Xenopus tropicalis: one gene and its partners. The protein of the gene in region 2 interacts with the protein of the main gene of each other region in a biochemical or structural test. Links are inferred from orthologs where the notes say so. Each region holds a gene or a part of one and is shown on either strand. Other genes may lie near its edges. The genes, in order: riok1, prmt5 and snrpd1.

What was found.
Region 1: the proteins of prmt5 (region 2) and riok1 are reported together in a solved structure, tested with the Homo sapiens proteins (2 studies listed by BioGRID, with this or other methods). The link is inferred for Xenopus tropicalis from reciprocal best matches to the Homo sapiens genes PRMT5 and RIOK1.
Region 3: the proteins of prmt5 (region 2) and snrpd1 form a complex in vitro, tested with the Homo sapiens proteins (2 studies listed by BioGRID, with this or other methods). The link is inferred for Xenopus tropicalis from reciprocal best matches to the Homo sapiens genes PRMT5 and SNRPD1.

What each region holds. Positions count from the first base shown.
Region 1 is NC_030682.2:89,093,656-89,097,962, reverse strand, and holds the start of riok1 (serine/threonine-protein kinase RIO1), read right to left. Parts: upstream 2,919-4,307; 5' UTR 2,826-2,918; intron 2,267-2,825; exon of another isoform or gene 2,167-2,266; intron 1,809-2,166; 5' UTR 1,757-1,808; coding exon 1,553-1,756; intron 888-1,552; coding exon 797-887; intron 1-796. Other genes in the region: pre-mRNA-splicing factor RBM22, read left to right, coding at 3,079-3,132. UniProt on the Homo sapiens protein: Involved in the final steps of cytoplasmic maturation of the 40S ribosomal subunit. Involved in processing of 18S-E pre-rRNA to the mature 18S rRNA. Required for the recycling of NOB1 and PNO1 from the late 40S precursor.
Region 2 is NC_030677.2:140,165,750-140,169,302, forward strand, and holds the end of prmt5 (protein arginine N-methyltransferase 5), read right to left. Parts: intron 3,421-3,553; coding exon 3,245-3,420; intron 3,114-3,244; coding exon 3,004-3,113; intron 2,121-3,003; coding exon 2,027-2,120; intron 1,944-2,026; coding exon 1,827-1,943; intron 1,703-1,826; coding exon 1,638-1,702; intron 1,275-1,637; coding exon 1,122-1,274; 3' UTR 625-1,121; downstream 1-624. UniProt on the Homo sapiens protein: Arginine methyltransferase that can both catalyze the formation of omega-N monomethylarginine (MMA) and symmetrical dimethylarginine (sDMA), with a preference for the formation of MMA.
Region 3 is NC_030682.2:65,069,919-65,074,137, forward strand, and holds the start of snrpd1 (small nuclear ribonucleoprotein Sm D1), read right to left. Parts: upstream 2,919-4,219; 5' UTR 2,476-2,918; coding exon 2,462-2,475; intron 2,246-2,461; coding exon 2,169-2,245; intron 1-2,168. UniProt on the Homo sapiens protein: Plays a role in pre-mRNA splicing as a core component of the spliceosomal U1, U2, U4 and U5 small nuclear ribonucleoproteins (snRNPs), the building blocks of the spliceosome.

The DNA of each region.
Region 1 (4,307 bases), on a different chromosome or scaffold from region 2:
CCTTATCATGGCTTTCTGTTAAACAAAGAATAGTTTACAAACTCCTTCTCTTAACCTTCAAAGCCCTCCATTCCTCTGCTCCTCACTACATCTCTTCCCTGGTGTCTCCGTACGTTCCTGGCCGACTCCTTCGTTCCTCGCAGAGCAACCGTTTGGTTGCGCCCCCCACTACTACTGCTGTTTCCCGCCTTAAACCCTTCTGCCTTGCTGCCCCTTACATTTGGAATTCCCTCCCTGATGTCCTCCGGAGAGAATCATCCCTCAGTCTTTTTAAAACTAAACTTAAAGACTACCTTTTGGAGCACTCGCCCAGCACCTGATCTGGAAACTGGCACTTATACTGTAATGTCACCCACTGTGACCTATAGCACTTATATTTGCCTATTTGTGTCTGTTAGTTACCCCTCCCATATAGATTGTAAGCTCTACAGGCAGGGACCGCCTTCATCTTGTGTTTCTGACTCTTATTGCAACTGCACTTTGTATTTATTGTATTTATTGTTGTACTTTGTATTTATCCATTATCTTTAACCCCCTGTCTGTATTAATGAATTCTACTGTACAGCGCTGCGTACATAAGTAGCGCTTTATAAATAAAGATATACATACATTATATCAATAAACAAAAAGCAAGCTATTATCAATAAAAGGATGCAGAACCAAGCACTTTGGGAGCAGAATCTGTCAAACCGAAACTGCACCCTCATTACAGCTAGTTTGAAATATGCACAAATCACTTCAAGGACACTGAACAGAAATTAAGGACTTACACTTAAGGCTTGTTATTTGTACTCACCCAAGTTGATTTTATTTTCATACTTCTGTAAAACTTTATCTGACACAGTGTAGGTTTTAGAGGACCCACTTTGTATGTCATTTCTGTTAGCCTGGAACACAACAAAGTGGTTTCTAAATAAGAATGTGAAAGAACATTAAAGGAGAAGGAAAGACATTTTGGCATTTTACTGCCAACAGATTAGCCACAATAGTGCAAGCTAGAACACTATATTTAGTGAGCAGAAAGTTTTACCATATCTGAGTACAGAGTCCTAGAAGCTCCCTCTCTCTGTTTAAGATAGAAGCTGCTATTTTAGCTTTGTCTCAGTAGCTTCCATGCTGCAGCTTTAGCTGCAGGTAGCTAAGATCTGCACAGCACAGTTGGGCGAGGGAGCAAGAGAAGGGAGGGGGAAAGGGAGAGAGGAGAAGACTCATTCCCCTGCCCTGAAAGATGTTTCTGACAGCAGGAAATCTGATACTGAAGAACATGTGTACAAAAAAGAAGAAAGGAAAATCCTGTGTTTCTTTTGCAGCTTTTCTGTGAGTGCTTATGGCTGTATTTACATAGACCTTTTCTGATAACTCCTGGTATGATGAAAAACACAAAAAGTAAAATGGTTTATTCAAATAATATGTACACCAAAAAACTTAACATGTTTAATGCCTACATGGCACCTAATCATATGTCTTAACACAAATTACAACAGGCCATAAGCAACCGTAATATGTCAAGAATTATTTTACTTTTAATTCCCTTCAAGGCAAAGCAAATTACCTGTGGATTACTACTTCTTGTAGCCGAATAGTGCTTCATGTTTGTATCAGTTCTATCCCAATACCAATCATCATCCTCATCCTGCTCCTCATCCTCACTATCCTCTTTATTGGCTCCTTCCTCCTGCATTGATGCCTGTTCTTTTCTCATGAGGAAACTTTCATAACTTTCCATTTCTTCATTATCTGACATTTGAGAAGTCATTGGCTTAACCTTTGCTCCCTTGTATAAATTATTTTGTGCCTTTGCTTTATACCTGGAAAAGAGTGTATCCAAAAAATGTTACAAGAATAAAAAGTAACACATGATTAACTAAAAAAATAGATTTCTCCATATAACACACAATAAACAAAAGTCTACCAATGTTTCCCATTAGTACATTCACTGGATACACATCCCTGCAAAATGGGAGGTTTTTGTTAAAGAACGGTAACACAAAAATATTTAAATACGTCACAAAACAATATTTATAAGTCACAAAACATCTTTAACATTAGGTCTAGCCTTTCCCCCCTTGCCTTTTTTAAATGCTTTATGTAGAATTTTAGTGACAAACTGCTCGAAAGCAGCATGGCAAAAAGGTGACAGGTGCTTGAATTCCTGTGTGTACTGACCCAATTTGAACAGCAATTTTCGCGAATCAAAAGCACAATTGGAAAAGATTTGGAGTAACGACGATAATTTCTGATGTGCTTAAATTCTTTTCTTGGTCATACAAAAATATTGTGGTTGCGATCCGAAAGTCACAAAATTTTTGTATCTGAGCTATCGTAAACGGAGAGAAAACCTTTCTGGCTTTGAAACTTCAATGCATGATTTTGAAAGCCTTCAATAGGACTCTCAATAGCACTCTACAGCTCCAACCTGGCCAAAAAAGGTCACAACACCAAAGCTTGAATGAATTCTGAAATGGCCATAGTCTTTGCAAAAAATACAACTTTTTTTGTGGAAGTTAATGGAAACCACAAAACAATCGCACTATTTTAACGATATTATCGTGGTCATTACCAAAAGTTCTATAAATTGGAAAAAATAGAATGTCTCAAAAAAAAAAATCGTGGTTTAATGAAACCATAATGAAGCCATAGTAACCTGGCCGCTAGTCTATGCTGGGACATGTAAGATTTATTTTGGGTTGAGGCGGGGCTTCCACTGACCAGTTTGAGTTACGAGATTTATAGTTTTTTAATTCCCACCTCTGTACACATTGCAACCATAGACTATACTGCCTAAAACCTGACCAACCATCAACCTTCTTTGTACAAGTACTCACCCGGTTACTTCGGAAGTGTTTATTATATCAGTAGCTCACATGTGGCGTGCAGACTGTACGTGCGGTGCGTCAAGACCACGTGACCAGACAGCGCTATGTGACGGAACTGGTGCTGCCTTCAGAGTACGCGAAAGCATTTCAGCTCTCTATTCCGGTCTCATACGTGCCACAGTGCGCACGCGTATTAGCGTATGTAGTTTGCGCATTCGTGCTAGGCTTTTCTGTTGGTTTCCGGGCCGTGGTGAGAGTCAACATGGCTACGTCGCTCGGATCAAACACGTACAATCGGCAAAATTGGGAAGACGCGGTGAGTTCTTAGTGTGTGAGGAAGGGTAGATTTGTGCGCTACATCATGGCCAGGTTTCTGTATGTTAGCATCGAGAAAGCCGCTTAGTAAAGACTAGAATTCTAAGTGAGCGGTAGGCCGGAGAGTAGTGAATGGCACTGTACTTTAGTAGGAATTCGCTGCAGACACGGTAGAAATGGAAAAAGACTCCTGGCTGTAGAACGGGGCTGGGTGCGGGTTAGGGATGTGATAGGGAGGGGTGAGTGCCAGGTTACACTGGTTAGTAATGAACTAGCTATAAGCGTCAGTGTGCCCCTGTACTGTGCGGGTTAGTAGTACGGCGGCCGCTGTGTGTGCGTTCTGCCTGCTGCTGGCTATTCCGTTACAGTGTTGGCTCCATCAGAGCAGCGAGTTTCAGTACAGTACATGGAAGTAGTGTTGAACTGCAAGTCGTGCCAGCTCTGTTATTCCCAGTGCAGTACAGCTGCAGTGCTAAACCTATTTTTAACTGTATTTGTTGGCTAGGAAAGTGATAGGTACTTATGGCACTTGCATGATGATGTGTTTGAACCCTAAACTATGCTCTGTATAGGACTAGATTTTACCTTTTACGTTGCCAGTAGTAATCTACGGTCTTGGGAAAAAGCCAACCTTCCCCTGACCCTAACCCACAAAACCTTAATCCGTGAGTCTTCCTGCTCCATACTCTACTTCTGCTACCTCTTGTTCCAAGACAGGGAATCTTAAGGAGCAGAGGACTTCCATAGTCTGACCTGCACCCTACCCAAACCCATGGCCAAATTTTAACTCTGACACTTTGTCGTCAACCCACACATCATTAATTGCCAGATATGAGCAGTGCTGCACTAAGGGACTACATGAAAGATATTATATCTGTCTGGCCAATTAATGGAAGCTTTTTTGCACTTAACTTTTGGGGCCTCGATTACCTACATACATTGTGCTTAGTCTTCTTAAGTCGGCAGCAGCTTGGCTAATTGTGGCCATGCTCCCAAACTATCTGAAGAACTGTAGATCAGGGGTCTCAAACTCGCGGCCCTCGGTACAATATTTTGTGGCCCGCACCAACGCCTTCGCAAAAGCAATGAATGGATCGCGATTTTTATTGCGATTCAAGGGATAATGCAAGACACGGCGGGCAGGAGCTGCTGATTGCGGAAATGACGTTATGCCAT
Region 2 (3,553 bases):
GATGCAAATCTTGGCTTAACAGTTCACACAAAATAGAACCTCCTAGCACGCTATGATTGTGAATTTCAAGACTGAAGGAAATAAGATTTATATTATTTATATAGTGTAAGTATTTTGCCTGACTAGCACAATAGAAAATATGTAATTATTTCTAAGGGTGACAGGTCCACCTGCAAAACACCTATCATATTAGAATAAAACTTTATGGTGTGTTTTTTTCTTTTTAGTTGTCAGAGTAGCTCACCAACCCAGAAAAGCATGTAATAGGGTCAAAGGGAAGAGAAGCTTAAAAAAAGGTGCTTAAACACTAAACTTCCAAAAATAAATATAGATATACAATTTTTACCTACCTTTTTCCATAAACTGAAAGGAAACTAACATTTTATTGCAAAATTCCTTTCTTAGGCTCACAGTAAGATGAAACCCCTCTTCCCACCTTGTTCCATTGTTAAGTCATTTAGTCCCTCTGCTTTCTATAGTGCGTAGTGCACAGATTTTTTTAAAGAAGCAGATCACCAGAATCGCTTTACATGGAATAAGGTAAGGTAGGGGTTGCATGACACTGCGATAAAGGGCGGGAGATGGCAAATGGTCTGCTTAATACAAAAATCTGTGCATTCCATATTTCTCACAAGGAACTAGATTTATTAATAGTTTTGCTCACCAGGCAGAGTCCATGTCTGATGGTACATTTTAATGGTTTGTGATTCTAGAGAAATAGACCGTTACAAAATCTGTATCTTCCCCTAAAAAATGCTTTGAACCATCAACAGCACAATTGAATAAACTTGGTTATATTTCATATTAAATTTACTTCCACCGGTATTCAAAGGTAACGTTAGAACTTTGGCATACTCTTAGATGTAATGTCCGCAGGTGCATAAATTAACTCAGGAACCTTTTAATATTAAACATTGCTATTAACACATAATAAAAAAAGGACTATAAGTGAACAAACATACAGTTCAACTGCAGGAAGCCTCTCATAGAGGCAAAGTCATAAGTGCTGATAGTAACCCATTGTGCGCTACCCTTCTGCAGCACAAACCCCTAGTATTTCTCCATTCGTTGTATGCCCCATGTCACTCTCTTATGAAGGTGATGGTTTTCAAACTTGTCTATCACAGGCCAATTGTGTAGGAACGTCCTGTAGGATTGTGAATTGCAGAGCACACAGGGGATGTTACAGCCCATTCGTACCAAACCTTCTTGCCATTATTACAACGCCAAAATCGGACACAAACAGTGTCGCCCTCCCGCAAAGGAATGGGTTGCTGAAAAAGAAAGGGACTGGTTAATAGAACAAAACAGAAAAAGAATTAAGAGTTTACAACAATAACTTAAAGCACCATAGCAAGCATAAATAGTACAATTCATTGTCATGTTGTGCAGTTGACTTTATTTTACTTCCTGTTCCCTTGGTCAGCTTATTAAACTTCCAAAAAAATCTCTATAGAATATTTATTTTATGCCAGTATATTAAAAGTTATCACCTGCTTCATGAAGGCCCCACATCAGAGGAAGCAACAGGACTATTTGCAAAACTGCATAAATCATACTTTCAATGAGTGGGTAAACAAGACGGGTGATCTATACATAGATATTGTGGATGTTCTCTAAGTGTATGTATTATTTACCTTGATAGGAAAGAGGATGGGAAACCAAGAAAACATGCCTGGGGAGTGACTTTCAGGACAAATGCCTGCAAAAGACAAAAGATTATAATGTACAAAAAGGCCATTCTTTGAAAAAAATTAAATGAAAATTCAATGAGTTAATGCAAAGTCTGTAATAATGTGATGCATCTTATGGAAGGTTATGCTTACTCAGCGTCACATCTTTGTACAACACAGCGTCAAAATATCCAGCAAACCCATGTAGCACTGTGTTTAGATCTACTCTGTACTGCAGGCAAATGTAGCGGTTATTATCGATTACAGCATCTAGGAGAAAAGAACTAATGAAACAAACAAAAAAAACCTATATAGCAGTTCTATGGATTTTCTTTGCACCTTTCCTAACTCACCTTTGTTGGGGTGGAGGAATGTGAAGCATGGCAAGGGATCAGATAACTGATGGAAGTTGTGTAGCCTAACGACATAGGGCATCTCAAACTGAGCCTGGAGATATGGAAACAGCAGACCATGTGTAAAACAACTTCACACAATAAATAACCCTATAATATAGGCCAGTTGCCAAATAAGTTTTTTTTTTTTTTTTAAACTTTTTTGTGTCCAACATGAGGTCCAACATTTGGCCAGGCCCCACCCAGTCATAATTGTACACATTATTAAGATAGCAAATATAACCCTAATTCATTTTCAGGGCTTTCTAGTATTTAGAACAGCAAAATCGGTGTAGGCCAAACTTGGCTTCAGGTTTGGCTTGCCCCAAATTTTGGGAAACACTGGTCTAGATACACTACAATACCTTGGATCATTTTATCTCCATAGACTTCTTAATGTCTAAAGGGTTTAAAATGCATATATTCTTAATACTGAACTCTACTTTTAAGGCTTGAAAAACTGGTGAACACTATTCCAGTACATTCAACTATCAAAGTCAATTTTTATTTTTAGGTTTGAAGAACTCAGCAGGTTAACAGGACAAAAATGTAGAATAACCCCTTACTTGCTTTGCAGAAAGTAGTAATATGAAAGGCAAGACAAAACAATGAAGCAACATTGCAGTATCTTATTTCTTTAAACATCTAGTACTGAATTATATTTATCCATGTAAAAGCAAGTTTTATTTTAGCTAAATAAAAATATAGAGCTGTATTTATCAGAGCTTTACTAGCAAAAGATAGTAGGAAATGTGCTGCCATCAAAGCATTCTATAATGGCAAAAAACCACTGGTCCACAAATAAAAACAAAGGGATTTTTAAAAAAAATAGACAGGAAAAACACTATTATTTGTGAATCTGCAAATATCACTATACTACAGGCAAGTGGACAAAATATGATGTCTACAAGTAACTTAATATATTAAAATGTACTTACCTCAGGGTCTCTGTCTTTTTCCCTGCAAGCTCGTACCTCATTATACAGTTTGGATGAAGAGATCGGCGCCAAGTAAGAAGTGTATTCACTGGGAATACTAACTCCATCCTCTGCCAAAAAAAAGAAAAGGCACATAAGGCATATTCAAAAAGTGATGAGGATAATCTGGAGACATAAAACCAAGGGAATGTTCATAGGATCCACATCAAAAGAATAAATGATAATTGTGCACATTTTGAACCTTTCAGGAAGTGCTGAGCTCCGTCCAGACATTCAGGAGACAGTTCGTTATCACCAAATGATCCCAGAAGCTCACTAACTATAATATCAGCCTTCTCAGGTGCCTTCCATTCTCTCATGTCACCAGACACCACAGTCACTTGACTGCCCCATTCCTCATAACGCCACCCTTCCAACCTGAGAGACAAAAACAACGATCATATAAGGATAAGAGAGTTTAAAAGAGCACTGTACATTGTACAATTGTATGTCAAATATAGCAATATAGCATAGTATTGCAAAAGACTACCAAAAGGTTTTTATTTCCCAC
Region 3 (4,219 bases), on a different chromosome or scaffold from region 2:
TGGGCAAGTCGCATCCGCAGCTCCTACATTACATGCATGCACATAATAAGTGAGCGGGAGTCTCCCGCATAATGCGCATGCATGCTTAATTAACATGGCCGCCGCACTGGGAGCTCCCTCCTGGTGGGGGGCGGCCTAGTGCAGACAGACTTTAAAAAAAACCCAAAAACTACTGCATCTCCCAACCAGAGTGTGGGCTCTATTAGCCTGCAACTTTGGTGGGGAAGCAATTTTAGCGCGATCGGTGCCCTTTAAGGTAAACGTATGACAAATTAAAAGAACATCTTTGAAAAAGGTTTTGTTGCATTTGGTTGTACCCTATGGTATGATAAAATCTGACAGGTCCCCCTGCCCACAACAGACTGGCCCATTCTATTTGACCAAAATTTTGGTAACTAAAAATAGCTGTTGACTTTCTCCCGGATGAGATGTCTCTGTCAAGTTGTTGTCCCATGTCCAAACAAATTTGTGGTAACATGAAAGAACACAACAGAATAGGTTGGAGATGTGAATAGGCATTGCAAGCAGGGGCAGAATATTTTGTAAACTAAGGGCTGTGGCAGACGGGGAGATTAGTCGCCACTCGACAAATCTCCCCGAAATGCCATCCCACCGGCTAGAATGTAATTCCCGGTGGGACGGCATACATGGCGCAGAAATTGCCGAAGTTCCTTTGCAACTTCGGCAAATCGCCCTGCCGCATATGCCACTGCATCGGCGATTTACATTCTAGTCGGTGGGATGGCATTTTGGGGAGATTAGGTGCCCCTGGTTTAAAAATTAGCACTGAGTACCATAAACTGGGAAGTTGTCCAATGGCTGAACACAACAGTAATCACAGATTAGTATCACTGTTATTTGCAGTTATTGGTGCTTTACTAGGGCATCCAACAAAATTTAAAGGAGGCATATAGGATTAACAAAAATATTCTCTTAGTTCCCTGTTTCAAATGAGGGAGGGGGGCGTGTCCTAACGGTCCCTGCCATAAACACAGTAGGAGGGGGGGTTGCCAATCACAGCCCTGCACTCACACAAAGGAAGGCTTCAGCTCCCTATCAGGTTTGCCTAGATCAGGGATCCCCAACCTTTTTTTATCCGTGAGTCACATTCAAATATAAGAAGACTTGGGGAGCAAAACAGGCATAATACATGTTCCTTTGGTTACTAAATAAGGACTGTTATTGGCTATTTGGTAACCCCTATATGGACTGAAAAACCTACAGGATGTTCTGTTTGGCAGCATATCTGGTTTTTATGCAACCAAAACATGCCTCAAAGCCCATAATTCAAAAATAAGCACCTGTTTTAAAGCCACTGGGAGCAACATCCAAGGGGTTGGAGAGCAACATGTTGCTCACGAACCACTGGCCTAGATGCAGCCTGGGAAAAGAAGGCAGCAGGTAGTAAAACAGGTGGGTGGGGCTAGTGGGTTTTTGGGCGAAAATTTCAATAAACGCTACTTTTCTTAGCACATTCCATCAAAATAAAACTTACTGCACAGAAGCCAAGTCTTAGCAACAAAAGACAGCAGAAGTTATGTAACCTATGCTGCCGGAACTGTATTTTTGAGGTGACACGCATGTGTATATGACAAGACCTACACTCTGTATTCAAAACAGCATGGCTTCACCGACTTACAGAGAAGACACATTGACCAGAACCAGTCCCTGCTCTTTGCACCACAGGGGTTACTAATACACAGCCAATTATGATCAGAGTCAAACCACAATTGTGGGGAAGCTTCCCCTTTTCTACATATTCCCCACCGGACCTACCTCCTACCAATAAATGTTCACCCTGACCCACAGATCCAAATGCTCATAAGTGTGAGACCAATCAGAGGAGCTGGCTGAAGTTGCCATATCCAGCACTGGGGTGCATGCTAGACTTTCAGTAATTCACATTATTTAATGCCAGCTTGCAAATGGTTCCACCTGCCCACTGGGCAATCATGGATGCACACAGCTTATTTATATATTAAGTCTGAGAAAATTCATTATTTCCCACCAGTAACACCTTTGCTAGTAGTATATAAACCAATACACACTGAAGCAAGACAAAATGGTATGTCTCTTTTATAAAGATATTATCAATAAGTATTTCCATTGTGCACATTAAGTACACATAGCAATGTTATGGTATATATTTATGTGCCCCTCTGTATTACCTGTGATCGTGCCATGCACTTGGGTTCCGTTCTTAAGTTCCACTGTGACAGTTTCATGACTTAATTTCATCAAAAACCTATGAGAAAAAAAAACAAAAGCGTTCATGGCCAGCCGCTCGTGATGAACCCATTAGTTACACAGTTTATATTACAACGCAGACTCGCTAATACATTATTATCCGACGGAGCCTTTACTTCCCGCCGTAATCTTCTACTTACACAAAGCTCTCAAACGTAACTCTCAATCCACCACCATCCTCTGTGAAGGAACCCATAACAATCTAAACGCTTACCTAACTAACTTCATGACTTCTTAATACGAACGCGGATCCGACTCCTTCGGCCAGAAAAGGGTTATAGGACTGGCAAAATGAAACGCGAAAATTTACTTTTAGACCCTCCGAATTCTCATTGAGCGAAAGCAACGTTCCAGCGGAAATCGGCACCTACGTCAGATCCGGAAGCGGAAGCCCCAGTCGAGGGCGGAAGTTTTTGTTACATGTGTAATAGAAGATGAAAACGCTAGCCTGTCTCCACGTAGAAAAAGGAGAATTACATTTTCGACTTTTAAAAAGCAATACTATAAGGGGAGGCCTACACTGCAGTTAAGATACTTGCTTAAATAAAATGCACAAAGCGGCGTTCCAGCGAAGCCTTTTATGCTTGTGGATTACTTAAAATTTCGTCTAATACAGCGCAATGCATTTATAAAGAAATACTGTTGTAATAAAAACTTAGCATACATAGCTGAGCTAAAGTCAACTGGTGCATTTAATTCAACAGAAACGCTACAACACCATCGGGGCGGGGCCGAAGTAGAAGAGGGCGTGGTATTGAAGCTAAATTTCATTTTGGATCTAGGTTGGCCATTGGCATTGCATGGCATGAAAATAAGTATTCTCACTATTAAACTTTATTTTTAGGTAAAAGTTAATGTTTCGTTTTCTGAAGACAACATCCCTTTACCTGCTTACCTGCCACTGCATTTTTTTTTTTTTACATGCTTTTGATATGCTGTCTGCAATCCCCATTGTTAGAGACCTTTAGACAACTAGTGCTGAGGTTTGAATCTTCCGTAGGGACCCATAGGGTTAAGCTCCCCTATGGCTTTAAATCCTACCTCTTCTGATTTTGTACTGTTACTGGGCAACAGGGCCGGAACTAGGGGTAGGCAGAAGAGGCAGCTGCCTCGGGCGCAACGATTGGGGGGCGCCAGACAGGAGCCTCTTCTGCCTACCCCTAGTCCTGCTACTTGTCATTGCCCCCACCGCTTGTAATTAGTGGTGGAGGCAATGACCGATTGGATTGCACCCCCCCCCCTTGCGTTTGTTTTGGCGCCATTCGGGGAGAGGGGGAGTGGCCAAATGCCTAAGCACACGCAAGGGGGTGGGGGGTGGCCAACCGGGTTGCCTAGGGCGCCTGGTCAGCTTGGCCCGCCCCTGCTGGGCAAAGTCCCATGTATATAGTTTACACCTTATTGGTTATTTGGGTTGATCACACCCCTTGCAGTCTCATATAGTGTCTAGCAAGGAGATGTGACTTTCTCTTTGGCTGCCTTCTGAATCTCAAGGAACAGCTCCACTGAGCCTGGGACCACTACACCCTTACTCCGCATGGTCTCTTCCACCTAGCGAAGGCCCATTTTGTCTAAGAGAGTCGCATGTAGCCCATGCTCTAAACCTAACACTAGCATGGGTTTTGTCTATATATAGCCAAACAAGCGTTACACTTCACTTCTTGGACCCAATACCCTCACAATGAGTACTACTTAAAGCACTGATCCCCAACCAGTGGCTCAGGAGCAATATGTTGCTCACCAACCCCTTGGATGTTGCTCCCAGTGGCCTCAAAGCAGGTGCTTATTTTTGAATTTCTGGTTAGGAGGCAAGTTTTGGTTGAATAAAAACCAAGTATAATGACAAACAGAGCCTTGTGTAGGCTGCCAGTCCACATAGGGCTACCAATAGCCAATCATAGCTCTCATTTGCCACCCCCAGGATTATTTTTATGCTTGTGTTGCTCCTCAACACTTTTTCCATTTGAATGTATAA